3 linked regions of the Mus musculus genome follow. The main gene of each other region encodes a partner of the protein of the gene in region 3 in a complex. Links are inferred from orthologs where the notes say so. Each region holds a gene or a part of one and is shown on either strand. Other genes may lie near its edges.

Region 1 (10,680 bases), on a different chromosome or scaffold from region 3:
AGGCCCTTTATTTTGATTCCCGACTCCGCAGCTCCCGCCGCCGCCGCCAAGCGCTCCCTCCACTTCCGCTTCCGCCCCGCCCCGCCCCTGTCGCAAAACCGATACGCTTCTCTACTACTAGCCCCGCCCCTCTCTCCGAGCCTCCCTGCCTCACCTCTTCCTCCATAATACCACACCCTTCCTCTGCTCCGCCCCCTATGGCCGCTCCCTTTCTCCGCCCATTCCCAGCCCGTCCCCACTCCGCCCAGTCGCTTCCTCCAGTAGCCCCGCCCATTCCCCCGTCCCTCCCTTCCCCTTTCTGGCTCCACCCCTCCCTGAGTCTCGCCCAGTCTTTTCTTTCGCCCCGCCCTCGCCTCCGCGTATTTCTCCGCGCAGGGCACGCTGGGAAGTGGGGGGGGCGGGGCCTCGCGGCCCTGCAGCCTCGTCAGGCTCAGTCCCCTCCCGATAAACCTCAAAATAGGGTCTTACCTAGGGGGCTGGCGGCGTATTTTTTTTAGCAGGAACCCCAGTTTAGGAGTTCTCACTACTGGTTTGATGACGCCATGTCGAACGGATCTTCCAGGCGAAGAACTAGGGAGCTTTTGTGATGGAGTCAAGGAAAGGCTTGCCAGATGGGATTTGTTAGGGTTCCGCTCTAAAAGGTCTTGGGAGCGAGGACTAAGGAGAGAAGATTAATGTGAAATAAAGTATTAATGCTCTGCCTCGTCACGTGATAACCCTTATTTTTACAAATTAAATCGTGCACGTTGCACTGCATCTTTTAGCGCAACCTAGTGGCCAGTGGAGAAAGAACAGTTAAACCTGCCAAATGGGCTTTTGGCAAAGTCCTCCCTACCTATAGCAGTTTCAGTGCTGATCAAGTACATGCAAAGACTGCTGCTGAATATTGACACCAACAGTTAAGAGTACATGATATCCTTACCCAGTTTTATTTTTTCTTTTCAGAGACAGTGTCTCACTTGTGTAGCCTTGGGTTGGCCTGGAACTTGCCCCGCAGACTATGCTGTACTCGAACTTGCAGTCCCTTGCTTTCTGAGTGCTAGGATTAAAGGAGTTTGTGTCACCTGGCAAACGTTTTGTTTTAATAAACCTAGTGCTTTGTAACCAATACTTTTCAGATGACAGGTTGGCCACGAAAAAGAAGATGCTAAAGTTATAAGAACTTTGTGAAATCAAAAATACTTCATGTTTTAAACAGATAAACTGTTCTGTATCCTCGCTACCCCTATCCCCAACCCCACTGAGCCTTGAAGGCTTCACTTTTACTTGACCTAAATATGAGTTGGGTTTTTTTGTTTGTTTTTCCAGACAGGGTTTCTCTGTGTGATAGCCCTGGTTGCCCTGGAACTCTCTGTACACTAGCCTCAAACTCAGAGATCTGCCTGCGGTTGCCTACAAGTTCAAGAAGTAAAAGCATAACCTTTATTTAGAACCATGCCTGGCTTAAATATGAGTTTTCAGGATTCCATAGGGGGAAAGATAATTTCTGAAATTTCTAGCTCTTTGCTGCTTTCTGTTACAAGTTAGGAAAAAAATATAATCTAAATGTAGGCACAGTATAGAATGTCCTAGCTGGTTATTACTTTAAAATAGTTATACTTAAAAGTCTGCCAGAAGCCGGGCAGTGGCGGCGCACGCCTTTAATCCCAGCACTTGGGAGGCAGAGACAGGCAGATTTCTGAGTTCGAGGCCAGCCTGGTCTACAAAGTGAGTTCCAGGACAGCCAGGGCTATACAGAGAAACCCTGTCTCGAAAAACAAAACAACAACAACAACAAAATTAAAAGCACTACCTACTATTTAATAAAAGTAGGTTTCAACTTTTTGCCAGAAGTAGTGGCACAGTTCCAGGGCAACTAGAACTGCACAAAGAGACCCTGTCTCATTAAAAAAAAAAAAAAAACCAACTTCCTTTTTTTTTCCTTTGCTCAGTAATAATCTTCACATTTATGAAACAAAGATAACAGAGATTTATTATTGGTGTTTCACTGGATACTTTGCATTTGATTCAACTCCCCAAAGACCTAAGTTACTAAACAGAGTTCTCCTCTACCACCCATGAGGACAGGATCAAAGGAAGAGAAGTCAAACTCTCAGCTTGGTCACAGCACAAAAGCTACAAACAAAATGAACAGAATTTTTTTTTAAAAAAAAAGAGCAAAGCCAACTACAGTAGCCCAGGACTTTGATCCCAGCTCCTTCAAAGGTAGAGACAAAATTACAAATTCAGCTTATCCAGGCTACAGGGTGAGCTTAGGTCCAGCCTGGGCATCTTAGAAGGAATTTGACTAAAAAAAAAAAAAAAAAGAAAGAAAGAAAGAAAGAAAAAGAAAAGAAAAGAAAAAAGGGGGCTGAAGGTATAGGTCAGTGGTAGAGCATTTACCTAGAGTGGGTAAGGTATTGAGTTCAACCAACAAAACTGAGGAGAGGGGCAGGGGGCAGGGGGCAGGAGGCATTACTTGTGTAGCCCAGGGGAACAGAACATGATTGTAAGAGTCAAAAAGAGCCTTCTGAAGCTCCTTTTGTTAGGTACAAAATCGAAACACTTGGATTTCCTGTACCCTTTTTCTCATCTTTTAAACAATTCTAGGAGGCTGGAGATACAGCTGAATGATACAGTATTTGCTTAACATGGCCAAGGGCCTAGGTTCAAGGCCAACACTGCCAGAAATGTAAGCTAACTATGCCTTTCTCTGGCTTCCCAGTCTCTAAATAGTCTTCAGCAACATTTGGCATCTGAAATTCTGTTTCCGTTTACTGTATTAACCCTTTAAGATCAGATTCTTTGTCTTAGTCACCAGGTTGTAAAATTACCTGTGCCTAATAGTATTTAATAATTAATGAACAATTAATGGCTTAACGTTAAGAAATTATTATTAGCTGGGCCTGTGATCCCACTGAAAAATAAGGCTAAGGGAATACTCAGAAATTTGAGGCCAGCCCAAGTTACATAGGAAAAGTGTTTCAAAAAAGGAAAAAACAAGGGGCTGGAGAGATTGCTCAACAGTTAAGAACACTGATCTCCTAGAGGTCAATTCCTAGCAACCATATGATGACTTTTTTTTTTTTTTAAAGATTTATTTATTTATTATATGTAAGTACACTGTAGCTGTCCTCAGATATCCCAGAAGAAGGCATCAGATTTCGTTATGGATGGTTGTGAGCCACCATGTGGCTACTGGGACTTGAACTCGGGACCAGTCGGGTGCTCTTAACCCCTGAGCCATCTCGCCAGCCCTGTTTGTTTGTTTTTCAAGACAGGGTTTCTCTGTGTAGCTCTGACTGTCCTGGAACTCACGCTGTAGACCAGGCTGGTCTCAAACTCAGAAATCCGTCTGCCTCTGCCTCCCGAGTGCTAGGATTAAAGGTGTGCTCCACCACTGCCCGGCTTATTTACAAAGCACTGCACAAAGTCTTGTAAACTTATTTATTTAGCTCGGGGGGGGGGGGGGGGGACGACGACGACGACCATTTTATCCACGAGTAATTAAATACCTTGTTTCAAATACACATAGCTAGTAAGCGGCGGAGTTAGGATTCAAAGTCAAGTTCTTTCACATTAAACTATTCTGTCTCAGAAGAAGCCACAACAGTTAAAGATTCTATTTGGGGTGTAAAGTTGTGGAATAACAAGGGTCCTGTGGGCTGGGCGGAAGTTTGTCGTTCTCTATGCCTGTTTTTGTCTTTGTGCATTCTGGGCTAGTATAGCATTTTTGGAATCGGGTAGGGCACTTACAAGTGTAACCCAATATCAGCTATTCCTAATGCCCGGGTTTCTCCGACCAATTGCTCCTTTGTCTATTCTTGGGCAAGAGCAAGAGCAGATAAATGCAACCAGTGTGAAGGAGAGGCGTGCGGATGTTCCAGAGTGCGTGGCACGGCGAGTACCGAGCCGCCAGCAGGCCCTCTCCACGCCCGCCTTCCGGGCCAGTGGCCTGCGCCTCCTGCGGCCCCTCCCGCCCCCACCGAGGCTTGGCCCAGCCGCGCCCGGGCCTAGAGAGAAAAAGTTTCCAAACCTCGCTTCTTTGCGCTGATTGGCCGAGTCAGACGCGTCCCGAGAGCGGCAGCCAATGGGAGGCGCGCACCGCGCAGTACCGGCGAGGCTGGAGGGCAAGAAAGGCCTGCCGGCCCGCGCCTCGCTGGAATCGTCGCCGCCCGGGCTGGGTAAGTGGAGCCAGGCTGCGGGCGGGTCTCCGCCACGCCCGCAGCATCCATCCGACGTGTCCCCCACACCTGCCCTCCTCAGCTTTCCACCTTCCATCCGTGAGCTCCGCCGCTCGCCCTGGCCAACTCCGTTCCTCTTCTGCTGGCTGCTTTTCTATCCTCGAACGTCCTCAAGACCCATGCCCACGCCGCCCCAAGGCCCCCGAGTTCTTAGTCTGCCCCTTCACCCCACAGTTTCCGGGTCCCCAACTGCTGCCGCACGGATACCAACCTATATCCAACCTTCCCCTCGATGCCTATAGGTCTCGGCCGCTGGACGTTTCAAATTTCCCTAGACAGCACTTTGGATCGGATAAACTTTATCCGACAAAGGGTGAGAGTGCTTACCCCACACCTTGGATGTTGGCCCAGCTCACCTCTACCTCTTTGAGGTCCTGGGCAACCCGGAGTCACCTTGACTCCGGAGCGACTTCATATTTCCTAAATCATCTCGACTTTTTGCCAGGTTGTGCATCCTTCTGCGCTTTAGCCGGATCCTCGCTCAACTTCTCTAGCTGGGTGGAGGTTTGTAATTGGCTCTGCCACCTGTTTCTGTGTATTGTGTGTTAGGATAACATTTTAGGACTCAGAAGGGGTGCTTTTGAAGTATAGTCTGATAGAAACTACTCCAGAGCCTGAGGGTATCTGACCACGCACTTCTCTTCCCCAGCACACTGGTATTCAGCCCGTTTTGAGGTTTAAGTAATTCCCCTTTCAGAATTCCATATGGAGTTCAGTAAGAGGAACTTACAGAACTATGACCAACCCTCCAACCCCTCTGAAGTCGCATGTCTTTGTACTTAAGCAGCAAGAAGACAAGCTAGGCTTAGTGACTGACTCTTGATGTGTTTGACCTGGAACTTGCTCTATAGACCAGGCTGGCCTCGAACTCAAGTTGATTCTCTTGCCTTTGCCTCCCAAGTGCTGGGATTAGAGGTGTCCACCATCACCTGGCTCCCATTCACGTCTTGTTTATTTGAGAGAGATATAAACTTGGGCTGGAGAAGGGTATTGGTTCATTCGATATTGGCATCGAGTATTGGTGATCAGCTTGGCTAGCTTTCTTCACTCAGACATCACTTTATTTCTTTCCTAGAAATTTGAAATTAGAGGTGTGTGACTTGTGTGTGTTCTCAGACAGTTTTGTAGACTTAATTTTGGGGGACTCCTCCCAACAAAACCAATCCTAAGGACTGAAAGTTCTTATTTCAAAGTGTGAGGACCTAAGTGATGTCCCCAGCACCAAAAAGCTGGTGTGATGGTGCACACCTGTGATTTGCAGTACCCAGCTTGGGGGACAGGGGGGCCCTGAGGCTTGCTGCCCAGTGCAGGAGAATGTGAGCCCTGGGTTCAATGAGAGACCTTACCTCAAAAATAAATAAATAAATAAATAAATAAATAAAATTAAAAAGGTGGAGAGTGATAGAGGAAGACACCTGATGTCACTTCTGACCCTGCATGCACACAAACACCTGCACACACACACACACACACACACACACAAACCCCACTTCTGGCTCCTCATGCACAGGAATACTTTGCACATACACAGAAACCCCGTGCTGAAATGAATTCTTAGACGTGTAAAACCACCTTACGGGAAACAGGTACTTTTTAAAATTTGCTTTTTGAATTTTGTGTGGTGTGTGTACTTGTTAGCATAGAGGTACTGTGTGGAGTACCAGAAGTCTATAAGAGGACTCTTTCTTCTGTTGTTTTCCATCTTAACTCTTGTATTGATTTATTTTAAGTTTTTGAAACTCCTTAGTTGGGCTAGGTTGGCTGGCCGCTGAACTTTAGGGATCTTGCCTATCTCTGTCTCCCCACACCTAGCACTGGGATTGTAGAACACCAGTGTGCAGCTTTTTACATGGGTGTTTTGTATTTGAACTCAGGCTCTCGTGTTTGTATGAGAGCCTTTTACTAGTTGAGCCATCTCCCCTGCCCTACCAAACATATTTGTGTGGTCCCTGAATTGGTCCACAGAGGCGTAAGATAGCAAGCACCAAGGCATTGAAAAGCAAGTTACCAACACATGAGTAATATAAATGCACACCATATTCTCTTGGTTTTTGATAGGACTTGGAATTAAACCCATGTGCCTTAGCCGAGGTCTCCCCTGCCTGAGCTGGTTACCTAGTGCTTTGTTTCAATTTTATTTTTGAGATAAGAGTCTTGGTCTTTCTAAGTTGTCCAGATTGGACTCACATTTAGAAATCCTCTGCTTCACATGTCATAGTAGCTGGGATTGTAGGCGTGGACCACCACTCTGTTTTTAAGATAGCAGGCACAAAGCTATGTGAACTGCAACCTGGTATTAACACCTATTATAATGGTGTTTTTAAAAGACTGTGGTCCAAACTGACTTCCTGCCAATCTATGTGCAACTTTGCAGTTCTTGAATTGACTTCAAAAAAGACATAGTGCATTCGGGTCTAGTTGCTTCCACCACTGCTTCATGGTTGTTAGAGATGATCAAGGCTGCAGTAGCTGCTGCCTCTGGCTGTTCCTGCTCCTCTTCCTCCCCCCTTTCCCTTCCTCTTTCTCTTTTTTCCCCCTTCTCTATTCCCTTCCTCCTCATTTTTTTCTCACTATCATCTCAGGGTTCGTGTGGCCCAGGCCTTCTCAAGGATGGCCTTGAACTTCTGACCCTCCTGCTTCCGTCTCCTTGATGCTGAGATTCCAGGCATGCAAGTGATGGAACCCTAGACTTCACAAATGTTAGGCAAACCCTGTACCAGTGACTGCTCTGCCCATCTCCTAGAGCAGAACAGCCTAAAGAGGTTAAAGTCTCTTGAAAAGTTATTCCACAGTAAACTTCAATAAATAACTCTGAAAGAAACGACTCTTCATGAGACACTTTGCATGCTTTCTGTGGTAGAGAGCAGTGCTGCAGGGGTTTGAGGGACAATTCCAAATAAAAAGGAAAATCTTATATTTTGAAGATTGCAGTTTCTTAAGCAAGAGATGTAGCTGTCACTTATCTCTTGTCGCTTTCCCCCTCCTTTTGAAATGTTTTTAGAATGTGTATGGTTTTGATGGACATGCCATTCCTGTGCTGCCAGTTGGTGTGTGAGTTATCAAGCTGAGTTCAGGTCCCTGCCCAGTTTCTCTGCAGTACTTGAGATTCAGATTCGTAGACTCTTTCTTCTCTGTAATGAAGGCCTCGTCCTCCCATCTGTGAGAGCAACACTGTGATGATAGTTTGTATGTGCCCTATCGAGAGGGTAAAAGGGTGTGGGCCTGTTGGAGAGGGTGTGGGCCTGTTGGAGTGGGTGTGGCCCTGTTGGGATAGGTGTGGCCCTTTTGGAGTAGGTGTGTCATTGTGGGTGTGGGCTTTAAGACCCTCATCCTAGCTGCCTGGAAGTCAGTATTCTGCTAGCAGCCTTCAGATGAAAATGTAGAACTCTGGGCTGATGAGATGGCTCAGTGGGTAAGATCACTGACTGCTCTTCCGAAGGTCCTGAGTTCAAATCCCAGCAACCACATGGTGGCTCACAACCATCCGTAACAAGATCTGATGCCCTCTTCTGGAGTGTCTAAAGACAGCTACAGTGTACTTACATATAATAATAAATAAATCTTTGGGCTGGAGTGACGAGCAGGGCCTGAGTGAGCAGAGGTCCTGAGTTCAATTCCCAGCAACCACATGAAGGCTCACAACCATCTGTACAGCTACAGTGCACTCATATACATAAAATAAATAAATAAATCTTTTAGAAAGAAAGAAAGAAAGAAAGAAAGAAAGAAAGAAAGAAAGAAAGAGAGAAAGAAAGAAAGAAAATGTAGAGCTCTTAGCTCCTCCTCCACTATGCCTGCCTGGATGCTGCCATGCTCCTTCTTGATGATACTGGACTGAACCTCTGTACCTGTAAGCCAGCCCCAATTAAGTGTTGTTCTTCTAAGAGTTGCCTTGGTCATGGTGTCTGTTCACAGCAGTAAAACCCTAACTAAGACAAACACCTCCCCTGTAACCCACACACATAACTTCCATCAGTTTCTTTCCTGAAGATCAAGTTTTAAACTTCCCTAGGAGGCAAGTTAACAATGATTCGAGAAGTTTTTTATTTTTTGTTTTTCCTGCTGAGCACTGTGGCACATGACTACAGTCCTAGCACTTAGGAGGTAGAAGCAAAAGGATCATATGTTCAAAGTCAGCATGAGATACATAATGAGTTCCAGGCCAGCTGGGGCTACATAGTAAGATCCTGTCTCAAAGACCTCTCTCCCCTTCCCCTCCTGTTTCCTTCTCTGCCTCGCCCTTCCTCTTCTCTGTATGGGTTCACGTTCATGTGTGTGCAGGTGTGTGTTCATATGGAGGTCAGCGCTTGTAAGACAAGGTCTGTTGTGTGTAGCGTGTATACCAAGCTAGCTGGCTCATGAGCTTCTGAGGAACCTGTCTCTGTCTCTTGTAGTGATGTTTTTACAGCCAAAAAGTAGTGTTGGTTTTGTCTTGAAGAGTGATTTTTGTGTGTATACACGTGTGGACACCCATGAAGGTTGACATCTGATGTCTTGGTCACTCTCCACTTTTTTTTTTTTGATAGTTTTTATACACTTTGGCCATACTCAGCCCTCCATGCTCTCTTCAATCCCCACACCTCAAATTCTCATTCCACTATCTTGTCTTGTTTTTGTTTTTGCCTTGTGACGTACTGGTGTCAACGAACCTGAAGCCCACTGATTTGGCCAGACCAGCTGGCCAATGAGCTCTGGGGAACCTGCTGTTTGTTCCACACAACCCTCCAGCACTGGGGTCATAGCCTAACTTTTTACATGAGTGTTTGGGATTGAAACACAGGCCCTCAAGCTGTGTGACAGGCAGGCACGCTACCCACTGAGCCATCTCCCCGGCCTATCCCCTCCCCCACTTTATGCCAGGTCTCACTGTATTGCCCAGGTTGCTTTCCGATTCCTAGGCTTGGGCTGCAAACCTCCTTTCTCCATTTCCCAAATGGCACCTCTGCACCAGGCTCCTGTTGTTTTGAACGTATCCTGGGCTCTGTTTTCCTCCTTTGTTCTGGGCTCTAATTTTATCTACCTTCCTTTCTGTTCCTGAATTGCTGCGCAGAAGATCCATTTTACTCCTTGACCCTCCCCAGCCAGCCACGCCACCAGGATGAGCCTCTGAGCTGAAGAGTCCGTCTGTCACCGAGTGCCTCAGTGGCTCCTTGTGGCAACCAAGCCTTCCTTCTTTTCTCCTTGTATCCTCTGTCTTTCCGGTGTCTTTCTCTGTGGCCCAGGTTAGCTAAGGATCTTACATCCTCCTGCCTCAGCTTCCCGAGTGTCCACCACTGTACAGTTTGGCAGTAAGTTTGTTAATGTGTTTGAAAGGCTGCCTGTGATTTAGCCCTGGAGTTCAGTCTCTGCTCTTTCCCTCGTCCACTTTCAGTCTTCCTCGGCTCCCACATAAGCCTAGCTACTGCTCTGCTGTCTGTGAGTTTGGTGTCTGTTTTCCTATTCTACTCTTCTTTGAGACAGGGTCTCAGACTGGCCTTGAACTTGTGACCTTTTGGCCTCAGCTTCCTGAGTGTTGGGATGCCAGAGGCACCATGCCCAACTCTTCCAATGCTACTACCTCTGCACCACCTTGCCAGGCAGCCCACCTTGACTTCCTGGCTGAGTTTTGGGGAATCTGTATCACAGTGCTGCTTCTCACAGGCGCATGCATGTCGAAACCTACCGACAGTTGTCTACACGGCAGCCATTTGTTGTGGGTCAGCATCGCATGCGGAGGGCTGTCCCTGTGCTCACCTGGGGCTGTACAGTAATTTATGTAGAACTTCCCTTCCCTTCCGACACAAGTCCCCCAGAGGAGCCAGGGATCTAAAAGACATCTTATTTGGATCTAAGGGCTAGGTACTAAGTGTTTGTGGGGAGATATACATAAGCCCTGGGCTGCAACTGAAGGTAGGCTACTTTTTATTTGGATTTAGTTTTGGTTTTCGAGTAAGCATCTTTTTTTATTTGATCTAGCATGAAGTTTGGGCTTTTAGGGTTGTTACCCAGAAAAGTCACTAATAATTTTCAAACTTTTCTCCTAGACATCATGCCACAGGAAGAGTGAGCTTTTGCCCATTTTACCATGGAGGACTCGGGAAAGACCTTTGAATCAGAGGAGGAAGAAACAAACTATTGGAGAGACCTGGCCATGACCTACAAACAGAGGTCAGTCCTGCAGCTTCCCTCCCTGTTTTCCAGGGGAGTGTGGTGGGCACCACGAATGCAGCCTTACCGTGAGATGAGGAAACAGGGTCTCTTTTCTCTAAAGAGGCCCCTGAGCAATTGGGAAGTCAGACAGCCTGCTTAAGGCAGCAGCTGTGAGAGGTAGGGTTGGGATTTGAACTACAAACTGAGTCACCTAACCTTTATCTGTGTCTGATCTTCTGTGGGGAAGATTTACCTGTGCCTATCTAAATAGACTGTTGCTGCAGAGTTGCTCAAGGCCAAGAACACTTGTTCTTGTAGAGGATCCAGG
Region 2 (9,891 bases), on a different chromosome or scaffold from region 3:
AGACAGCTGGGTGCTGTGAGGCTGGGAACTGTGCCCTTGGGTACTGTGTAGCCAGGCACCATGCAGCTGGTATTATGAAGATGGGTACTGGACAGCTGGACACTGTGCAGCTGGGTGCTGTGCAGCTGTGCACTATACAGCTGGGCTCTGTGCACCTGGGTACTGGGGAGTTGAGCACTGTATACCTGGGCACTGTGTAGCTAGCTACTGTGCACCTGTGCACTATGTACCTGGGTACTGGGCAGCTGTATACTGTGCAGCTGGGCACTGGGGAGCTGGATCCTATGCACCTGGATACTGGGCAGCTGGGCCCTGTGCACCTGGGTACTGGGCAGCTGAGCTCTGGGTACAGTAGAGCCCTGGTTGCCTGTTACAGTCTTGTTGGTGAGTGACACAGTGAAGAAACAGGAACATGGAGGAAAAAAGCTATTTGGTGGAAATACAACATGAGAGAATTTTCAAACAAGCCGACCTCCTGTTTTGAGGTCATGTAGACTCCCGTGCCTTGTAGGAAGCATTGCAGAGACCTGTGTGACCTTTACTCAGTTTCCCTATGGTGACCTCCAACAGAACTGTGATGTCCTATGCTGTCATAGTTCACTGATGCTGGTACAGCATCCCACCCCACTCAGGCTCCTCCATCCTCCTGTGTGTGTGTGTATGTGTGTGTGTCTCCACATATGCATGCTGGTGTTTGTGTACATGTATACACACTGGTATGTGTGTCTGTGTGTATACAACGGTGTGTATGTACTTATTTTCTTATGTATCAAGACTTGTGCATTGCTGGTGCCTTAAGAATCCTCACCTTGGTCAGGTGTTGTTGTGTCTGGCCAGTAGATCACAACCTGGGTTCTAGCCTGGAAAGGCATTTTGGAAACCTGGAAGAGAAGAGGGGCTAGGTGGCGAGAGAAAGAAATGTAGCTAAGACAGGCATTCTGATCAAAGCTCAATTTTACTGTTCTGCACGCAGATATAAAGCAGGGGAAGGGGCCCGATTCCTGCCAATTAATCTTGGGGTCCAATAGCAGGGTGAACAGCAAAGCGGCAGGTTCCAGCAGTGGGCATGGCAGAACGATTGAGGCTGCAAGCTCCACCCCTGAGCAAGCAGGTTTCAGGCTGGGGGAGGGAGACTACAAGGTGTGATGGCACACACCTTTTATCCCAGCACTCTGGAAGCAGAGGCAGGTGGAGCTTTGTGAGTTCATGGCCAGCCTAGTCCACAAAGTGAGTCCAGGACAGCCAGGCTGTTACAGAAAGAAAGTGTATCTCGACAAACCATAAAAGAAACAAACAAAAAGAATCCTCACTGGTCCCTCTGTAGCCACGCCCACCTCCATCCTGCCATCATCCCCCGGGTTCCTCCTCCCGTCTTCCATTTCCAGAATCTTCTCACATCTAGAATGTTGTATAAACAGAGTTCTGTAGTGTGGAAACTTTGGGTATTGACTTTTAAATTCAGTACAATCTCTAGATCCATCCAAATTGTTCTACTGCTGCCTGTTTCCTTTTAGTGAGTTAACACTTACCCTGGGCATACACCAAGGTTTTGCTGATAGGTAGCTGGGCGATGCTATGAACCTTTATTTATTTACCCTTTTGGGCTGAGAACAGCTAACTACAGCTGACATCCAATGCAGGCTTTCTGTGTTGAGGAAATGCCTGGTAGTGAGATTACCGGGTCATACTGGTGGAGGCAGGTTCAGTCTTGAAGAAAACATTCTGGTAATCTGATATTGCCCTCACCTGATGGATGGGTGGGTGGGTTGGTGGGTGAACTGGTGGGTGAGTGGGTGGGGGGATAGGTAGCAGGATTTTGCTTATCTGGTAAAGTATATGCCTGACTTGGTTCCTGGGAAGATATAGTTACTTATCAAAAGAAACGAATGAGAAAATGGAGTAAATAAATAATAAGCGAATGTGGAAACGGATTGCATAATTAATAGATAAAGAATGAGGAAATAGAGAAAGTATGCAAACAAACTTTGATTGTGGGAGTGAATGAATTACTGAGGAGGGAGCTGAGGGGGAAGGAAGGTGGAGGCAAACTAGCCTTGCTCTGTAGTATTCTGGGCATGGACATCATCCAGCAACGTCAAGTGCCATTGACATTAAATGCAGACAGGCCAGAGCCTAGGGTGTTCAGCACCGCCTGTGCCCTTCACACGTGCCCACAGGTAGACGAACAGATCCATGCCTGCTACGCACAAACCATGTCGGAGTGGCTGGGCTGTGAAGCTATCGTGAGACAGAGGGAGCGGGAGTCCCACGCGGCTGCCCTGGCCAAGTGCTCTTCAGGAGCCAGCCTGGACAGCCACCTTCACCGGATGCTGCACCGGGACTCCACCATCAGCAATGAGGTAAAGGACAGCTGGCCTGAGGGAAATGCTGATGGGAGGGGCCAGGGTCTTGGGACAGCCGCACCTTCAGCTTTTGAGGGGAGGAAGAGCTTTAGAATCAGATATAGATTCAAGTTGCACCCAGAGAATCTTGCCAGTGCCTTTCCTCTGGGCTCTGCTCTTGCATCTGTACTGCGGGCGTGGTGGAGGTCTGGGGATAGCCCTGAGAAGACAGCATGTATCAGGTTTCACTGCTGCATCTGTCAAGAGAAGGAATGGAACCAGGTTTCCTGGATTCCCAGCCCAGAAACCCTTTTTGTGACCTTCTGTCTTTGCCTGTCTGGTTCCTGTCTATCTCAGTCATCCCAGAGCTGCAGCTCAGGCCGCCAGAACCTCCGACTGCAGAGCGACTCCAGCAGCAGCACACAGGTGACTTTCTGAGGCTCAGCTCCCCACTCTTGCCCCACCCCATCCGCAAAGCCACACCCACCCAGAAAGCCCCGCCCAATCCATGCAAGCCCCACCCTCCCATCTGCGGTGGTAGGGTTTGGATGTCCATCATTTATCAGCCGCTTTGCTTGATGCATTCAGCTTTCTATGGCTAGTATCGGAAGTAAACTAAGTATTGCAAGCAGTTGCTGTCTCCTTGGAACCCATAACAGTGGAATGAAGCCCCTGTAGACATCAGCATCCCGGGATCCAAGTCCCGGGTAAAATGACAAGGGTGTGTACAGAACACTGCATTCGCCAGGTCACCTCTAGGCCACTCACAAGCAGTGCAGTCAGTGCAAACGACATGGAAATAGCTATCAGGCTGTGCCACTAGGAATGAAGAGCCTGGTCTGCGCAGGTGCAGTGGTTTGTGGGTATTTTCACTCAGCATTGGTTGAATCTTGGACTCAGCACCTCTGAACTCACAGGCTGACCAGGAGCCTGCTCTCCTATAAAACAGCAAACCGCACGCCTGTACTTTGCTTCTGTCTCCTTCATCTCCGTCCTCCCTTGAAACAGTACTAAGATCATCAGTACGCTGTGTGGCCTTCCAGAACCTTCTGGATGCCTTTACACACACACAGAAATATATAATGTCTTAGGGTTTCACTTCCGTGAAGAGACACCATGACCAAGGCGACTCTTAACAAAGGCAGACATTTAATTGAGGCTGGCTTAGTTTCAGCTGTTCAGTCCATTATCATCATGGCAGGAAGCATGGCAGCGTGCAGGCAGACATGGTGCTGGAGGAGCCAAGAGTTCTGCATCTTGGTCTGAAGGCAGCCAGGAAAGACTCTCTTCCGCAGGCAGCCAGGAGGAGGGAGGGTCTCTTCTGCACTGGGTAGAGCGAGAGCATGGGAGCCTCAAAGCTCACCCCACAGTGACACACTTCCCCAAACAAGCCCATACCTATTCTAACAAGGACACGCCTCACAATAGTGTCACTCCTTGTGGACCAAGCATTCAAACACATGAATCTATGGGGGCGGGGGGGCGGCGGGCAACCAATTCAAACCACTATATTTGGTAGATCTTAAAATCCCACATAAACACTGGCAGACTTATTGTTCAACAACTTTTGGGCATCACTCTACTGAAAGCCTCATTAAACAAAAGGAAAAGCACAAAGCAAGCTGGAGTGATGGCTCGGTAGTGAAGGGCACAAGCTGCTCTTGCAGAGGACCCAGATTTAGTTTCCAGCACCCACATGAGGTGCCTCACAACTAGGTCTGACCCCAAGAGATCTGGCGCCCTCTTCTGGACTGCAAGGGCACCTGCATTCATGACACACACACACATATACACACACACACAAACATAAATGCATAAATAAAGTTCCCAGTATCCACATGAGGTGCCTTACAACCAAGTGTAACCCCTGAAGATGTGCACCCTCTTCTGGACTACAAGGGCACCTGCATTCATGCAGACACACACACACAAATAAATAAAAAGCATACAAATGTTCATAAAATACCTTCTGGGTAGTATAATGTGTGTGTGTGTGTGTGTGTGTATACACCAAGCCTATGCACATGATGAGGTCCCAGCCCTGCTCATGAAAGAGCAGAAATAGATTCAGTGAAGTAAAACTGATGGCAGCTACTTAGAGAAGCAGTGTGAGGCCTTGACCTGATCTTTACTGTGACCTTGAGGGTTGTGGCTGAAGGACACAGAAACACAAGCAAATCTAAGTGTTAGAGGTCCGTACAGTAGAAAGCCACTCCCCTCCCCCAAACTTCATTTCCCTAGTTGCCCTCCTCAGAGCCAGCTGTGGCCAGCTGAATCGCTGATGCGACCTCAGCACTTGGAAGATTGACAGCCATAAAGAACACACTGCCTTTGTACTGACTGCATGCTATTCCGCTACAGGCAGATTCCATACCGAAGTCACTCCTGTTGTTGGATATTACTTTGCTGCCATGAGCTATGTTGCCATGCGAGTCCTGACTCGAATGTTTGTGTGTACCTTTCCTCAGGTATTTGAGTCTGTGGATGAGGTGGAGCAGACAGAGGCAGAAGGCAGGTCAGAAGAAAAACATCCCAAAATCCCCAATGGGAACCCAGCCAACGGCACTTGCTCCCCAGACTCCGGACACCCTTCCTCCCACAACTTCTCCTCTGGTCTCTCCGAGCACTCTGAGCCCAGTCTTAGCACTGAAGACAGCGTCTTGGATGCCCAACGCAGCCTTCCAGCTGTGTTTCGGCCTGGGGACAGCAGCGTGGAAGATGGGCAGAGCAGCGAAGCCACCACATCCCGGGACGAGGCCCCTCGGGAGGAGCTGGCCGTGCAAGATAGCCTTGAGAGTGACCTCCTTGCCAACGAGAGCTTGGAGGAGTTCATGTCTATCCCTGGCAGCCTGGACGTGGCCCTACCTGAGAAGGATGGCGCGGTGATGGACGGCTGGCCCGGTGAGGCGGACAAGCCCAGTCGGGCTGACAGTGAGGACAACCTCTCAGAAGAGCCTGAGATGGAGAGCCTGTTCCCTGCCCTGGCTTCTCTGGCTGTGACCTCCTCTGCCAATAACGAGGCATCCCCTGTGTCCTCCAGTGGAGTCACCTATTCTGTAAGTCACTAGGAGTCTTAAAAAAATATATTTATTTATTTATTTATTTTATGTATATGAATGAGTACACTGTAGCTGTCTTCAGACACACCAGCAGAAGGCGTCAGATCTCATTACGGATGGTTGTGAGCCACCATGTTGCCCTCTGCCTTCACAGACTTTAGCAGAATAGTCTAATGGAAAGCTCAGACAGACTCACTTTCTTTCTTTTCTTTCTTTCTTTTCTTTTAAGGATTTATTTATTTATTTATTTATTTTTATGCATGTGAGTACATTGTACCTGCACAGATGGTTGTGAGCCTTCATGTCGTTGTTGGGAATTGAATTTTTAGGACCTCTGCTTGCTCCGGTCAACTCTGCTTGCTCTGGCCCAAAGATTCATTTATTATTATACATAAGAACACTGTAGCTGTCTTCAGATGCACCAGAAGAGGGCGTCAGATCTCATTACCACGTGATTGCTGGGAATTGAACTCAGGACCTCTGGAAGAGCAGTTGGTGCTTTTACTTGCTGAGCCTTCTTGCCAGCCCCAGACTCACTTTGACCATGATGTATCTATCAGTCATCAACTATTACATCCATGCTGTGTGGCAAGCAGTTCCCGGAAGTCAGCGGCTTCACCCCTCAACACGATGCCTTATACATATACCTCCCAGTGTGTGGGTCAGCCAGGAAGCTCTGCCCCAAGCTGGGTGTGGCTCAGTTTGATAACTGCTGTCCGGGAGAGGTACTGGGGGGTTGGTCTGTGTTTCATTCTCTGGCAGGCTAACCTGGATGTGTGCTCACTGCAAAGGCAGATGGTAAGCAGAGAGAGCTGATGTGCCCGTGTGTATTTGAGACCTCTGCTCTGTCTGGCTCCCTGACATTACCTCAGCCAACTTGTGGTAGAGTGGGCAGTGACAGAGGTCACAGGGCAGAAGGAGTGTGAAGAGAAATACTGAGACACGAGCCCTTCCTGTTACTCTGAATGGCTGCAGATCTCTGATGCAGAGGCTGGGAGGTGGGTGGGACCTGGAGGGACCCAGTGGGCCCCCCTCCCTCCCCCCCCGCCCCCGTCTGTCTAGTATGAATCTTTCCTTGCACTGTCAGAATACACACTTGAGTGATTTCCACAGGCTGCATTTCCCATCCCATGTGACATCACACAGGCCACAGGACTGGAACCCTGCCTACTCTGTGATTCTTCTTTTTCTGTGTCTTTGGTATCTATTGGGTGTGTGGACCTTTTCGAGCTTATGGAGGGGTACGTGGGGGGTACGTGCGAGCACCACGAGACATGCTTGGGTGCAGCTGCTCAGAAACCATCCTTCTTTTGCTGTTGAGACAGCACCTCCCAGTGGCCTGCAGTTCACCAATTCCAGCAGGCTGTCCAGCCCTGCAGCAATCCCCAGTGATCTTCCTGTCCCCTCCTCTTCCTCAGCTCTAGGGCAAGCATGTACCTCCAGGCCTGACTTTCTACATGAGTTCTGGGGGTGCTGAACTTGGACGCTTGCCGGACAAACACTTCACTGACCGAGCCATCCCCCAGCAGCTGAAGAATCTTTTAGGAAGATTCCTCATCCACATTCATCCTGAGTGACATTCCCTCCCTTGTTCCTGGCACATCCCTTTGCTGGGTACAGGGCCGCATGACCGCCATGTTTGCTCAGTACAATTGTTCCCTGGTATATGATGGTTCAAGTCATGTTTTCAACTCCACAATAGTAAAGAATGTATTCGGTGGGAAGCAACCTTTTTTTTTTTTTTAAAGATTTATTTATTTTATGTATATGAGTATACTGTAGTTATCTTCAGACACACCAAAAGAGGGCGCCAGATTATATTGCAGATGGTTGAAATCTACCATGTGGTTGCTGGGAATTGAACTCAGGACCTCTGGAAGAGCAGATGGTGCTCTTAACTGCTGAGCCATCTCTCCAGCCCAGGAAGCAAACTTTAAATTTGACATCCACTGGGCTGGTGAGATGGCTCAGTGGGTAAGAGCACTGACTGCTCTTCCAGAGGTCCTGAGTTCAAGTCCCAGCAACCACATGGTGGCTCACAACCATCTGTAATGGGATCCAATGCCCTCTTCTGGTGTGTGTCTGAAGACAGCTACAGTGAACTCATAAACAGGAGAGAAAAAAAGAATAAATAAATTTGACATCCAGATCTTCCCCTGCACCATATGTGGTATGATTTCTCCATGCAGAGAGGGGCAACTCACACACACCCGACCCTTGCTAAAGCTCCCACGGGCCACGCTATCCCAAGGGAGCTTCTGACCCTCTGCGAGACACCCTGCCCTCAGCTGGGATGCTCACAGTTTAGGTGCACTCCGCACGTTTTTTAAAACTTACTTTACTGCAACTTCTGAGTTTCTTCATAGTAACCCTATCACAAGGTGAGGAGTACCCCGCCTTTCAAAGACTCTACTCTCTTTCCAAGTCTGCCCTTGGTATTGGGGAGCTTGTCTAACAGCTATCCACTTAAAGGTGACTTTTCTCCCTTTCAGCAAGTTTTAAGATTCTATTCTAGGGGCTGGGGACAGAGCTCAGTCAGTAAAGTCTTAGAGGCGAAGGGGTCCAGATTCCATGCCCAGGCTCCTGTCTCTAGTCTTCATGTCTTTGGTTTATTTCGTGCTCATTATGCAGCTCAGGCTAGCCTTAAGTTCACTCTGTAACCTGCCTTCAAACTGACAGCAATCCTCCTGCCATAGTCTCCTGAGCACTAAATTGACAGATTAGCATCCTCTTTAAATGCATTAAGTGTATTTGTGTAATATTCTGTCTCTGATACAGATCTGTGTGTGTGTGCGTGTGTGCGTGCACTCGTACACATAAGAACACATATGTCCACCTGTAATCCCAGCATTCTGGGCATTGAGGCAGGAGGATTATGAGTTCAAGGCCAGCCTGGGCTACATCCCGAGACCAGTCTCAAAAGAATACTCTTTCATCATGCAAAGTCAGCCTAACTTATCCAGGAAACAAAGAAAGAACGAATTGAACCCCAGAGTGAGCGGTTGGGAGGTGAGGGTTAGAAATGGTTCTTGGGGGTCAGCGTCCTCATCTTCCTTCTCCTCCCACCCACAGCCAGAACTACTGGACCTGTACACCGTGAACCTGCACCGCATTGAGAAAGATGTGCAGAGGTGTGACCGCAGCTACTGGTACTTCACAGCAGCCAACCTGGAGAAGCTGAGGAACATCATGTGCAGGTGACTGTGGCTGGGGGGGGAGGGGTGCTGTGGGGGGAGGAGTAGTGTGGGGGAGGGGGAGGGGTGGTGTGGGAGAGGGGAAAGGTTGTGTAGGGAAGGGAGGGGTGCTGTGGGGGAGGAGGAGTGTAGGGGGAGGGGTGCTGTGGGGGATATCCCCGAGTTATCACTTACTGTGTTTCATCCAGGCTGCTCTCAGCTCTCATTGGCCAGCCCACAGGGCCATGGTTTTCATGGCACGCTTCCTTGTGCTTAGCTCTATTCTTACATGATCCAGTAGTCCCTGCCTAAGGAATGGAGCCACCCACAGTAGACTGGATCTTCCTATATCACTTAATATAAAATCAAGACAGTTCCACACCCTCCCCTAGACAACCCCACCAGCCAACTCGATGTAGACAACTCTCTTCCCAACATGACGATCAGAACTATCACACTGACTTTGCTCGTGCCCTTTGCCTCTCTCTGCCTCCGTCTCCTCCCCCCCTGAGAAATGTCATGATCATTCTGAAAGATTCAAAGATTCGAGGTGCATACAGGGTTGAGTGTATTGTCCAGGCAGTCCCCATATTTTTCACGGAATTGATTCAGATTTCGGACAGAATCAGTAGAGAAAATAATCCCTAGAGTTTGTTTTTTGTTTGTTTGTTTGTTTAAGATTCATTTATTTATTAAACGTAAGTACACACAGTGTAGCTGTCTTCAGACACATCAGAAGAGGGCATCAGATCCCATTACAGATGGTTGTGAGCCACCATGTGGTTGCTGGGATTTTAACTCAGGACCTCTGGAAGAGCAGTCAGTGCTCTTAACCGCTGAGCCATCTCTCCGGCTTTTGAGATTTTTTTGAGTCACTTATTTATGCAAAGTGATTGCCTCCTCCATGTAGCCAGAGAAAGAAGAGGAGCTTGGAAGAGATGTGTGGGGCTGAGTGGAGGAGTTGAAGACACCCTGATCCCATGATAGCACCCCAGAGTGGTGGGACACCTGCAGAGTCCTGTGCTCAGCAATGCCCCATTGGGTTGGCCTTGATGGCTACGCCTTGGATGTGTGGTGACACTGAGGGTGGATATCAGACTGAAGGATGGAGGACCAGATGGGAGAAAGCATCAAGGAGAGGGCAGGCTGTGTGGGGATGCAGAGCATGGCACACTCATCGCGCCCCATTTCTCCTGCAGCTATATCTGGCAGCACATCGAGATCGGCTACGTCCAGGGCATGTGTGACCTCCTGGCCCCGTTGCTGGTCATCCTGGATGATGGTGAGTGTGACCTCCCTGACTGTAGGAGGGGAAGG
Region 3 (10,494 bases):
GTCCTTTATTTATTCGAGAACCCAGGAGCTCTCTAAATTCAGCCATCCAGTCTTCAATCTTTCTTCCAAGGCCTAATGGGGAAACCCCTATCATGTAAGGCAATGGAAGTTTCCTGACCTCACAGACGTCCTTGTGACAGCATTGCCACCCCTTAAGGGCCTGGAGACGTCACAGAGGGCCCCCAGTCTGGGCCCCGTGGCTTCCGGAGGCTTTAGGGGAGCCAGCCAGCTGCTCTAGATCCTGGCGGCAGCTGAGGCTGCGCTGCTGCTCAGGTGCGCTGGGAAGCAGAGGTGGGCCCGCCCCTAGGGTGTGGGTTGGGTGAATCTTGCAGGTGAAAGGCAAGTTTCAGGAAGGAAACAGGGCAAGCGAATTGTACAAGCAGGCCATTTAAGTTTTCTTTCGCGAAGAGACCCGCATCTTGCCAAGCCTCTTGAGGCTTGGTGGCCCTCCTACCAGACCGGTTGGGGGGTACGTGAGGAGGCTCATGTTCGGAATATGACCTGAGGTGATGTCAGGAGAATGGCTCTCTTGAATAGGAAGTGCATCTGTGACCTTTGCTCCTGCGGCAGGCATCACTGCCCACATCTCCCTACCAAGATTTATGAGAAGACAGAGAAACCATGTTTTTTCTCCGAATACTCGGAGAAGTATTCTACCTATCATTCTTATATGCCCCAAGAGTCCTTCAAACCCAAGGTGGAGTACCAGAAAGTAGCTATACCAATGGAAGGACTGTCCACAACAAAGAGAGACTTTGGGGCTTACAACATAGTACCGGTGAAACACCATCTTCCCGAGAAGGTCACTCCAATCCAAGATGAAATGGATTTCCTCACAACGTATAATCAACACTACAACTATTGCCCTGCCACTCGAGCGAGCCCCATCAAACCTCGAGACAACAGGCATCAATGTAATGACAAAATGGAGTATGAGCCTACGTACAAAGCTGATTATTTACCTTGGAACCAACAAAAAAGATCTTTGATTCATCCACCACAATCATACCGTCCTCCGTCCTGTAGGTTTGATCATAGAACCACACACCAGGACGATTATCCCATGAAAAGTCCTGTGGATACTGTGAATTACAAACCTCCACCTGGGCCCAAGCTCTCCAACCTCCCCCTGGAGAATATGACAAGCTACAGATCGAGCTATGTGGCCCATCCTGTGGAGAAGCGGTGTGTGTATGAGGGAGAGAAATATAAACCATGTGAAATTCCTTTTGATGGCCTTACCACCCACAGAGATTCCTACAAGGGTTTGATGGGGGAACCTGCCAAGAGCTGGAAACCTGTACCAAATCACTCTGGGCTAGGTATACCTTTTGCAACCGACACTGAATTTCGAGAAAATTTTCAAGCTTGGCCAACACCTAAGATTGTCCCCAAAGAGCCCATTCCCTACATCCCTCCTGAAGGAAAGATGGATCTTCTGACAACTGTGCAAGCCAACTATAAATGCCCCAATGGCGCTCCTGCTCAGTCCTGCCGGCCAGTCATCCACTTGAAGAAGAGTGAGCGATTTGAAAGCTCTACCACCAACAGAGAGGATTATAAACACTGGGACATCATCCCTAGAGAGCCAATCAAACCTGCTCCCCAGCTGAAATTCCCTGATGAGCCTATGGATTACATGACCACCAATCGTGCCCACTACGTGCCTCATGCACCAGTCAATACCAAAAGCTGCAAGCCAACCTGGTCCGGCCCTCGTGTAAACATCCCGTTAGAAGGTCAGACCACCTACTCTTCTAATTTTACTCCTAAGGAAATTCAAAGGTGCCCAGCTTCATTCTCTGAACCCCCTGGCTACATCTTTGAAGAGGTGGATGCTGTAGGGCACAGGATGTACAGGCCGGCTTCCAGAGCAGCTTCTCATGAGAGCAACCATCTTGGCTTTGGTGATGTGTAAAGAATTGGCACTCCCAGCCTGTCATTGAAGAATGGTTGTTTATAGAGATTGAAATTTCACAGCACACTAAAAGCAAACAATTGACGATTATTAATTCAACAAGGATTCCCCAAAATGAAAACAACGTAAACCAAACAACAAACTTCATCATCAATTTCAGGGCATTTGAATGGAATAAGAATCACCTAAAGAAAATGAGATAGAACCACCAGCAGATCAACTCCTTTTAACTCTCCCTCGACTGGACCTCCCTACCCCATCAATGTTCCTTGCTTTCTGCTCAAGAAAATAGCTCTCTGATCTAGGTGCATTTTATTAATTTGATCATTTGCCAAGCTTGAAGTGTCTATAATAAAATTTATGTTGGGGAAAATGTAAAATGGTGTGATCGTTCATTTTTGTTTTTTTAATTTTCCTTTGAGAAGTTTTGTAGTTAGCTGGGCAGTTGTAGTGTGTGCCTTTAATCCCAGCACTTGGGAGGCAGAGAGAGGCAGGTGGCTCTTTGAGTTCAGTGCCAGCCTGGTCTACAGAATGAGTTCCAGGACAGCCAAGGCTACACAGAGAAATCCTGACTTGGAAAACCAAACACAAATTTTTTTGTAGTGTTGTGGATTGAAACTAGATCTTTGGTTGGTGGTTTAGTCCCTGGGAGCTCTAGGGAACTCTGGTTGTTTTACCCTATTCCAACATATTTACTTTTTTTGTTTTATATTTTAGTTTATTATCCACTAGAAGCCTATTTGTTTCCTACTGAGAGACAGAAAGGGGATGTATATGGATGGAGGGATGTGGGGAGGAACTTGGTGTAGATGGAGGGATACCCTATTTGAGAAAAAATGTTTTCAATAAAAGAAAAAAGATCTGATTTAGATGAGGATTGTTTTGGCTTGGTTTGGTTTTTCTGAGACTGTGTGTGTGTGTGTGTGTGTGTGTGTGTGTGTGTAACAGTCCTGGCTGTCCTGAAACTCACTTTGTAGATCAGGCTGACCTTGAACTCACAGATATCTGCCTGCCTCTGCCTTCTGAGTGCCCGGTAAAAAGACACCACCACACCTGGTTTGAGAAATCATTTTTTATATGTAACTTTTCAACATATGATTATTTAATAATATAATTACTAATAGATTACTTATAAAATATATACATTACTGAGATTTCACATTGATAATGGGTTAGAGAAAATATCAACATTTCGATGATTTAAATGTCAGTTAATGGATAAATTGTGTACTATTTCATTCTGTTTTTCCTTGTATGTGAAAAGCATAGTCATTTTTCCCTTAGAGAAGGTCTCATATAGCCTATGTACCAACTCCCTATGTGCCATGAGGATCTTGAGCTCCTGTCTCTGCTTCTAGAATGCTAGGCTTCTGTGATGTCGGGGTTGGAACCATGATTTCATGTATGGTGGACAAGCACTCGACCTTGACTTGTATCCCAGCTCACTTTTCCATATGCAACAGATTTGTATATCGATAAACCTTTACTCAGATGTCCGTGGGGGAAATATTCTGCACACATAAAAATAGATTCCTTTTTATAAGAAAAAAAATCATTGAAATTCAAACTGGAACTCAGTATTTATTATGAGCCTTATTTTCATAATTATTCTAAAATCATACTTGTGAGAAACTTTGCTAACTGTAATCTTTCTGGCGCCTGATGAAAGGTTATTACTTGAAAATGGCTCCACAAAGAGGCAGACATTATGTAAATTGTTGTGGATCACGAAAGTGAATGTCTTCTCTTAGAAACTAAACATAATCTATATGTTTATGGGGAGCTAAGAATCTTTCTTCCAGGGACTTTTATTTTTACCACCTATGTACTCAATTCCTCATATAAATCAAAGGAATACAAACACCTCTGACCCTATATTTTGCCATTATTATTATTGTTTTGTTTGTTTTTCGACACAGGGTTTCTCTGTGTAGCCCTGGCTATCCTGGAACTCACTCTGTAGACCAGACTGGCTTCAAACTCAGAAATTTGCCTGCCTCTGCCTCCCAAGTGCTGGGATTAAAGGCGTGAGCCACCACCGCCTGCTTTTTTTTTTTTAAATGGTGCAATACTGCTACGTCATAGTACTCATATGTTCTCTACTTTAAACTTTAAGAATAAATTATTATTTTGTGACCACTGTTAGAAGAAACGCAGGTGGGAAGACCAGAGCAGCAGCTAGTACAAAGAAAAACTGCGATCTTGCAAAGCAGTCTGTGGGAAGAGCAGATTCCAGACTTCCTGGCTCAGTCTTCCTTGGGCCTAATTCCTGTGATCCAGACTAGGATCTTAGCCTTAGCGGTTGGGCTCGCAGCCGCAGGCCACGCCCACAGGAAAGACCCCGACCTACAGCTCCTGGCCTGGTGCTACCGCCACAGGCCCCTCCCCGCAGCTCCTGGCCCCGCCCTAAAGACTTAGGTCCCGCCCCTGACCCGGGTCTGGTTTTACCACTCCAGACCCTGCCTCACTGCCTCAGGCCCCGCCCCGTCGCCCCACTGTCAAGGCCTCGCCCCTCCGTCTTGGCCCCGCCCCGGCCGCCCGCCATATTGGTTCTTCTGCCCCAGTCGCTCCCTCTTGGAAGCGCTCTCGACGTTCCGGAGTCTCTGGCCTTCTTCCTGCCCTGGTTGCACCCAGGCGTGTTGGCGAGCCGCCCCCAGGACGTCCAGTGTGTGTCTGCAAGGTGAGCGGGGGTCATCCTTCCATTTGAGGTCCGGCCAGAGCTGGTTAAGAGCGCGCGTAGCCTGAGCTGAGCTGCTGGAGCGGAGGGCCGCCGGGGCGGCGGGCGAGCCAAATTGGCGCGGGTCAGTAGATTGCTGGGCAACAGGGGTAGTTAGCTTGTCCCCAAGTCTCCTGAAAATTCCTACGTCAGTAGGAAGAAAGACGGGTTTTCACATTCAAGCACGGGAAGAAGATCACACACCCAACCACTCGGGACATACACGCGCGCGCGCACACACAAACACATACACGCAGACCGACCGATCGGCCTTACTAGAGAGGAAGAGATATCCCTTCCAAAAACATCATCTCAGGAAAGAGATATACCCCAAATACTTGGGAATAGGATGGTGGAACGATGCTCACGGGACCAATGACATTACCTGGGTACACACTTACACATTAGTCTTTCCCCTAACCACACGGGGACACCCACATACTCGAGACCAAACCTTGCGCCACAGTGACTGACTAATGCTGGGGAAAGCAAGCTTGTGTTATTTGAGTTTGGCGACCTCTGACATACTACCCTTTGACCCACTCAGGTGAGAGAGCTTGGAAGATAAAGCCAGGGCAAAGACCTTGTAGGCGGTTGGGAACATCGTCAGATATCAGATCTTGGCCGAGGTTTCAAAATCGCGTTCCTTTCTTCCTTCCATCTTAGTGAAAAGACCAGAGGAGACTTTTAAGTACTGACCAAATGGTTGGTGAACGTATTATGGTTCTGTTTTGTTTTGTAAATGATGACACATCCCGTGATCATACTTCTTTTGAGGAATAACTTCTGCAAGTTTCCAAATTGGCACGTGACCAGTCTTTTCACAGCGTCCTCATAAAATCAACAGACTGAATTTGGTTTTTGTTTTGTTTTGCTGGTACAAGTTTTGTCTTTTTCCTTGCTAGCACCACTGCAATGGAAAATCCCTACACTGCCTGAAATCTCAACTAGAATTGAAGGAAACCCAGGGCTTTCAACTAAGGACTATTTACCTTTTTCTTTTCGTTCTTTTTCTTCCATTGCTGGAGCCCAAACCTAGGGTCTTGTGCTTGGCTAAGAAAGAGCTGTACCCCTGTGCAAAATTCCCAACTCCTGTCTCAGCTAAGGGACTTAAGTACCCTGCTTTTACTTTGTCTTTTATTTTTATTTATTTTTATTTTTTTAAAACCTTAATAGGTTTTTTTAAAAAAGATTTATTTATCATTGTACATAAATTCACTGTAGCTGACTTCAGACACACCAGAAGAGGGCATCAGATCTCATTATGGGTGGTTGTGAGCCACCATGTGGTTGCTGGGATTTGAACTCAGGACTTTTGGAAGAGCAGTCAGTGCTTTTACCCGCTGAGCCATCTCACCAGCCCTACTTTGTCTTTTATAATCTTAGGTCAAAGTTATCACTACTTGTGTAGCACTCCAAGTAACTTAATACATTCGAGTGTCGTGTTTTCATGTCGTGCATGGCAGTGTCTTCTTGCTTTTGGGGTTCTTCGTGTGCTTTGTAGTGTTTTGCTGTACTGAAACATTTATGGCATGGAGGCTTACTTATTTAGAACATTGGGGGAATTTAAGGATATTTGTGTTTTATTTTCTGGAAGGTTAAAGTAGACAAGCAAAAATCAGAGCATCTATTGTTGGAGAGTAGGAAAATACATTTGTGGTGGTCTCTCTTTTCTAGCCTGATCCTTTTACATTTCCCCTGTCCAACTACTTCCATTTTATCCTATAGTACTCTGAAGGCCCGAAGTTCTCTTAGTAATAGCAATTTCTTTTTTCTAGCCTCCCTCAGGATTTTTTCCCAATTGGGAAGCCCTACTCCGGCTCACATGAGCGGATTCTGTTTGAGTCAGTACTCTGTGCACCCTTTCGTTTTTCCTGGTGTTTCCAAAGCAGTGGTTCTGTTACAGATGAGAAATTTGCTGGTACCCGGGAGGGTTAGATTTCGTTTCCAAGGTCACCTAGGGAGTGAGGGAGCAGTGTTGAAATTCAAACATGTTTGTGGGCTTTTTGGAGTAGTAGTTTTGCACTGGGAGGCAATTTTATCCTCTCAGGGGATATTTGAAAAAATTTGGAGAAAAAGCATTTTTGGTTCATATTCCAGGTCCCACTGGGCTTCTGTAGTTCTTTAAGTACAATGTCATTTTACTGTTTAAGACAGCATTTTTATTATTTTAAAAGCTTGCTGGGGGAAAATTCTCTAAGGTTTATGACTACCTGGTAACAGAATCTATTTTTTTTTTTTAAAGCTTGCCTCAGCATTGCTGCTATGAAAAGGCTGGCATTGAATTCCTGATTTTGGGGTTACAGGGATGTGTTACCACACAGAGTTTCAGAAAATTTTTTTTTTAAAGACAAAAATGACAAAAAGTTTTGAGCTACTAGGCAGCTCTGCAGTTGACTTAGGAAGTTTGTCTTTTCGTTCTTCTCATCCACAGGTTGCTTTCGTGGGGCACTGGTCCAGAGGTGCTGCCCGGAAGCTGCTGCTACTTCTTTGAAGCTGGCAGTCTAGTCGAAATCTTAAGACCAGGTTCTTACATGGTCCTACATCACAATTTATTGTTTGGACTACTTGGCAGCAGAGGTCAGGTGTCATTTAATGAAAGAACACATCCTCACATAGCACACAAGTACATGTGTCGTGACATTTTTTTTTTCTGGACACACTTAGGTGGGGTGAAGAACAGTTGTTGGGTTCGTTAAAGCTTTGTAGTACAGTTGAATTGGGCATGTGTGCCTTTTTATTTATCTACATCTATTTCTTTATTTTGTTTTTTCCGAAACAGGTTTTCTCTGTTGTGGCCCTGGCAGTTCTGGAAGTCACCCTAGACCAGGCTGACCTCAAACTCCCTGAGATCTTCTTGCCTCTGCCTCCTGAGTGCTGGGATTAAAGGCATATGTCACCCCTCCCTGGTCGAGTTTTTAAATATAGTATATTAATATAATAGGGTCTCACTATGGTTTCAGCTGCCTGTGGACCAGGAGGCTGCCTACAATTCATAATCCAACTGAGTCCTTCTGCCAGTGCTCTTGACTCTTGAGCCATTTCTCCAGCCTATGTAATTTTCGTGTTGGTGTTTTTCGGCCTCTTTTTACCATGCTTGTCTGAGACCAGGTGTCAGTTATTACTGGTAGGTGAGTGTTTGGCATGGGGGATGGGTGTGTGTTATCAAAAAGTGTTGAAACTCCTCAGGATTTCCTGGGAAAATTCCCATAGTCAGTAGGTTGGTTGGTTTGCGGGTGTGATTATATTGTGTAAGGTATATATGCACATGTGTATTTAGAGGCCAAAGAAGGATGGGGAGTGTCCAGTTCTATATTCCACCTGTATTGCCTTGAGACAGTTTCTCACTGAGCCTGGAGCTAGGCTGGTGGTCAATAAGCTGTAGCAATCCTCCCATCTCCATTCTCTGCTAAATTGCTGGAGTGACCGGTGTTTCTGGGACTATAGCTAGCTTTTTCTTGTCAGTTCTGGGGATTCAAACTCAGGGTCTTTTTGCCTGTAAAGCAAACTTTCTTATCCATGGAGCCATCTCCCTGGCTCTGTGTCTTTGGATTTTGACCCTGCCATTGCACAGTGTTGTTCTTTGCTAATGAATATAGATTTCTCTACCTCTAACCAGATGCTCTGTTCTATAGTGTGTGTGGTGGTGGGGACACTGGATGCTGAATTTCATATCATACCAGATTGCTAGCACATGAAGTCTAACAAAGGTACGGGTTGTTTTGTTTTTTGTTTTTTGTTTTTTTTGTTATTTGTGACATCTCTCTCCACCACCTCCAAAGGTCATGAGGACTTGGTGCCAGGGAGTCTTGCTCAGTCATTACTTGTCTTGCTGCTCTAGTGTAGTTAGGTCACCACATTTCTTTCTTTGTAGAAAGATACACTACTTAATGTCTGCAAGAGTATATGTATCAGGTGAGACAGCAAATCATTAACTGCCACGTAATTCTGCCCTGGGCAGTTTGTTGGTTAAGCAGCAGGAGGAAATAAGCCAATTAGAAGTGGTGCCCAGTGAGGTTAAGTTGAAAGCTGAGTAGATAATAAAAGCTAGATAGTATAAGAAAATAGGGTTTGTGACTACCAGGCCATCCACTGAGGCCATGTATTAAAGGGTTGATGGGAAAGGAGGAGCTGAAGTCAGAAAATGCCTCAGGGAGTTTGGTGGGAAATTTGGAAGCAAATGAAAGGTCAGGTACTGAGGCCGGACACCTGGAGCCAACTAGGTATGTCTGTAGGTGTAGTTGGGTGTCAGGCCTGTGGCACTCCCAACCTGCTTTGCTTCAGGGTGGCTTGGCTGGTTAGATAACTTGGAGGAAAAATCTGTTTCCTAATGTGACTCTTGGTACTGTACATACTGGGTTGTGTTCTGGTTATTTCCACATTCTGGATTTTTCCATTACCTTTTGTTCATTTTTGACCGTGATGATTTCAAGCTGTAGAATGTCAGTTGCATTGGAAACACAGACAAGACATGGAGATGTAGTCTGGTTGTCAAGTCAGGGCTATATGAGGTGGAGGGAGTGTGTTTCAGAAAATGTGTACAAGTGAAGCAGGCAGGCCTGGCTTCATACTCCATGGACAGGAGTTCCCTTTTGTCTGAGGCGAAGGCATCGTGGTTGCCATTGTGTTGACGGGGGATGAGGACAGTGTGGAAGGAAGGACTCCACACATTCATTCCATGACCGATTTTTTTGTTTTAAATCTAAAGAGTAAAGAAAGAGTAGCAGAATCGTATATAAGGAAGGGCTCAGGTTCTGGTGGTTTGGATTAGGTGTCGGGTACAGAGGTTAGGATAGCCTTTAGGAGGCTGTCTCTCAGAAGCAGCTGTGTTAGCAGAGTTAGCGAAATGTGAAAATGCCTCACATTTATTTCAACATCTCACTGAGGAGAACGCTTAACAGATAGGAGTGTTGGATGATTCTAACAGGTCCAAAAAGGCCAGGCTTAAATACAATTTGAAAAATAGTTGTTTTGGAGCAGCAGACAGCTGCCATCCTTAAAATCTGCATTTAATTTTTCCTCTGTGATCTTGGGCAAAGTCATCTTTACAAAGTTAAGTCACCAGAAGGAATGTGTGCAATGCAGTGTTGAAATTGTGAACTCCCTTGAGCATGGTACCATACAGATGCCAGCATCTCTGCTCCCTTTAAACATTGTAAGCAGCCTGCCCTAGCCACAGTTTCTGAACCATAGGATTCGAAGGTGTTTTCCTTCCATTAGTGTTTATAGAGTTAAGAGTTCAGTGGTAAGGAAACAAGGCCTTACTGTTGGTTTTAGTTCCCCACCACTCCCTGTAAGTCAGTCTGTAAACTTTCCCCTGGGCTTGCAGTTGGGGATTGCTGAGACTTGGTTGCTGAGCTGGGAGCAGAGGCTGCACAGGCTCTCCATCCCTACTTTGCTACCTTTTCTCCCCACTACTTACTATATGCACTTGTTCAGGAAGTAGGTGTGCAGCGCTAGGAGGGTGCCTTTTCTTTCCCAGAGTGCTCCAACTGGTAGCCTTTATCTGTCTTGGTGGTTGGAAAAAGTGCTGGAGAGCTAGGCAGGGCTTGTTCAGTTCTGTGGCCAAGTTTCCTTGTTAGTTTCTTCTTGAGTTTCACAGTTACACAACTAGCGTTATCTTTATAGTTTCTAAGTTTTTTTGTTGTTACTTTTGAGACAGGGCTTTTCTGTGTAACAGAGCTCTGACTGTTGCATTGTAGACCAGGATGGCCTTGAACTCACATCACAGAGATTGCTGGGAACAGAGGTGTGTACCACTATGACTGGCAAGTTTTGGTGCTGATTTGCATTTAAAATAGGTTTTTTTGTGTGTGTGTTTGTGTCTTTTCTGATTTTGTACCTTTATTTATTTATTTCT

The links.
Region 1: the proteins of Rab9 (region 3) and Nde1 are in contact, whole or in part, in a crystal structure (PDB 7E1T), measured with the Homo sapiens proteins. The link is inferred for Mus musculus from reciprocal best matches to the Homo sapiens genes RAB9A and NDE1. Residues at the interface, in NP_001182257.1 of Homo sapiens: Ile40, Val42, Phe44, Asn46, Gln59, Trp61, Arg68, Phe69, Ser71, Leu72, Pro75, Phe76; in NP_001137451.1 of Homo sapiens: Asp99, Gln102, Thr103, Ala105, Ile106, Gln109, Leu110, Tyr113.
Region 2: the proteins of Rab9 (region 3) and Sgsm1 are in contact, whole or in part, in a crystal structure (PDB 4QXA), measured with the Mus musculus proteins. Residues at the interface, in NP_062747.1 of Mus musculus: Phe37, Thr39, Ile40, Gly41, Val42, Glu43, Phe44, Leu45, Trp61, Arg68, Phe69, Leu72, Phe76; in NP_766306.2 of Mus musculus: Leu256, Leu257, Tyr258, Gly259, Lys260, Asn261, Asn262, Tyr277, Asn294, Met297, Asn298, Gln361.

Annotation. Positions count from the first base shown.
Region 1 is NC_000082.6:14,159,206-14,169,885, forward strand, and holds the start of Nde1 (nuclear distribution protein nudE homolog 1), read left to right. Parts: upstream 1-4,069; 5' UTR 4,070-4,163; intron 4,164-10,245; exon of another isoform or gene 10,246-10,246; 5' UTR 10,247-10,287; coding exon 10,288-10,370; intron 10,371-10,680. UniProt on the Homo sapiens protein: Required for centrosome duplication and formation and function of the mitotic spindle. Essential for the development of the cerebral cortex.
Region 2 is NC_000071.6:113,258,756-113,268,646, reverse strand, and holds part of Sgsm1 (small G protein signaling modulator 1), read left to right. Parts: intron 1-2,177; coding exon 2,178-2,360; intron 2,361-2,699; coding exon 2,700-2,768; coding exon of another isoform or gene 2,769-2,780; exon of another isoform or gene 2,781-2,973; intron 2,974-4,810; coding exon 4,811-5,398; intron 5,399-8,473; coding exon 8,474-8,598; intron 8,599-9,773; coding exon 9,774-9,856; intron 9,857-9,891. UniProt on the Homo sapiens protein: Interacts with numerous Rab family members, functioning as Rab effector for some, and as GTPase activator for others. Promotes GTP hydrolysis by RAB34 and RAB36.
Region 3 is NC_000086.7:166,473,644-166,484,137, reverse strand, and holds the start of Rab9 (ras-related protein Rab-9A), read left to right. Parts: upstream 1-4,270; 5' UTR 4,271-4,598; intron 4,599-10,494. UniProt on the Homo sapiens protein: The small GTPases Rab are key regulators of intracellular membrane trafficking, from the formation of transport vesicles to their fusion with membranes.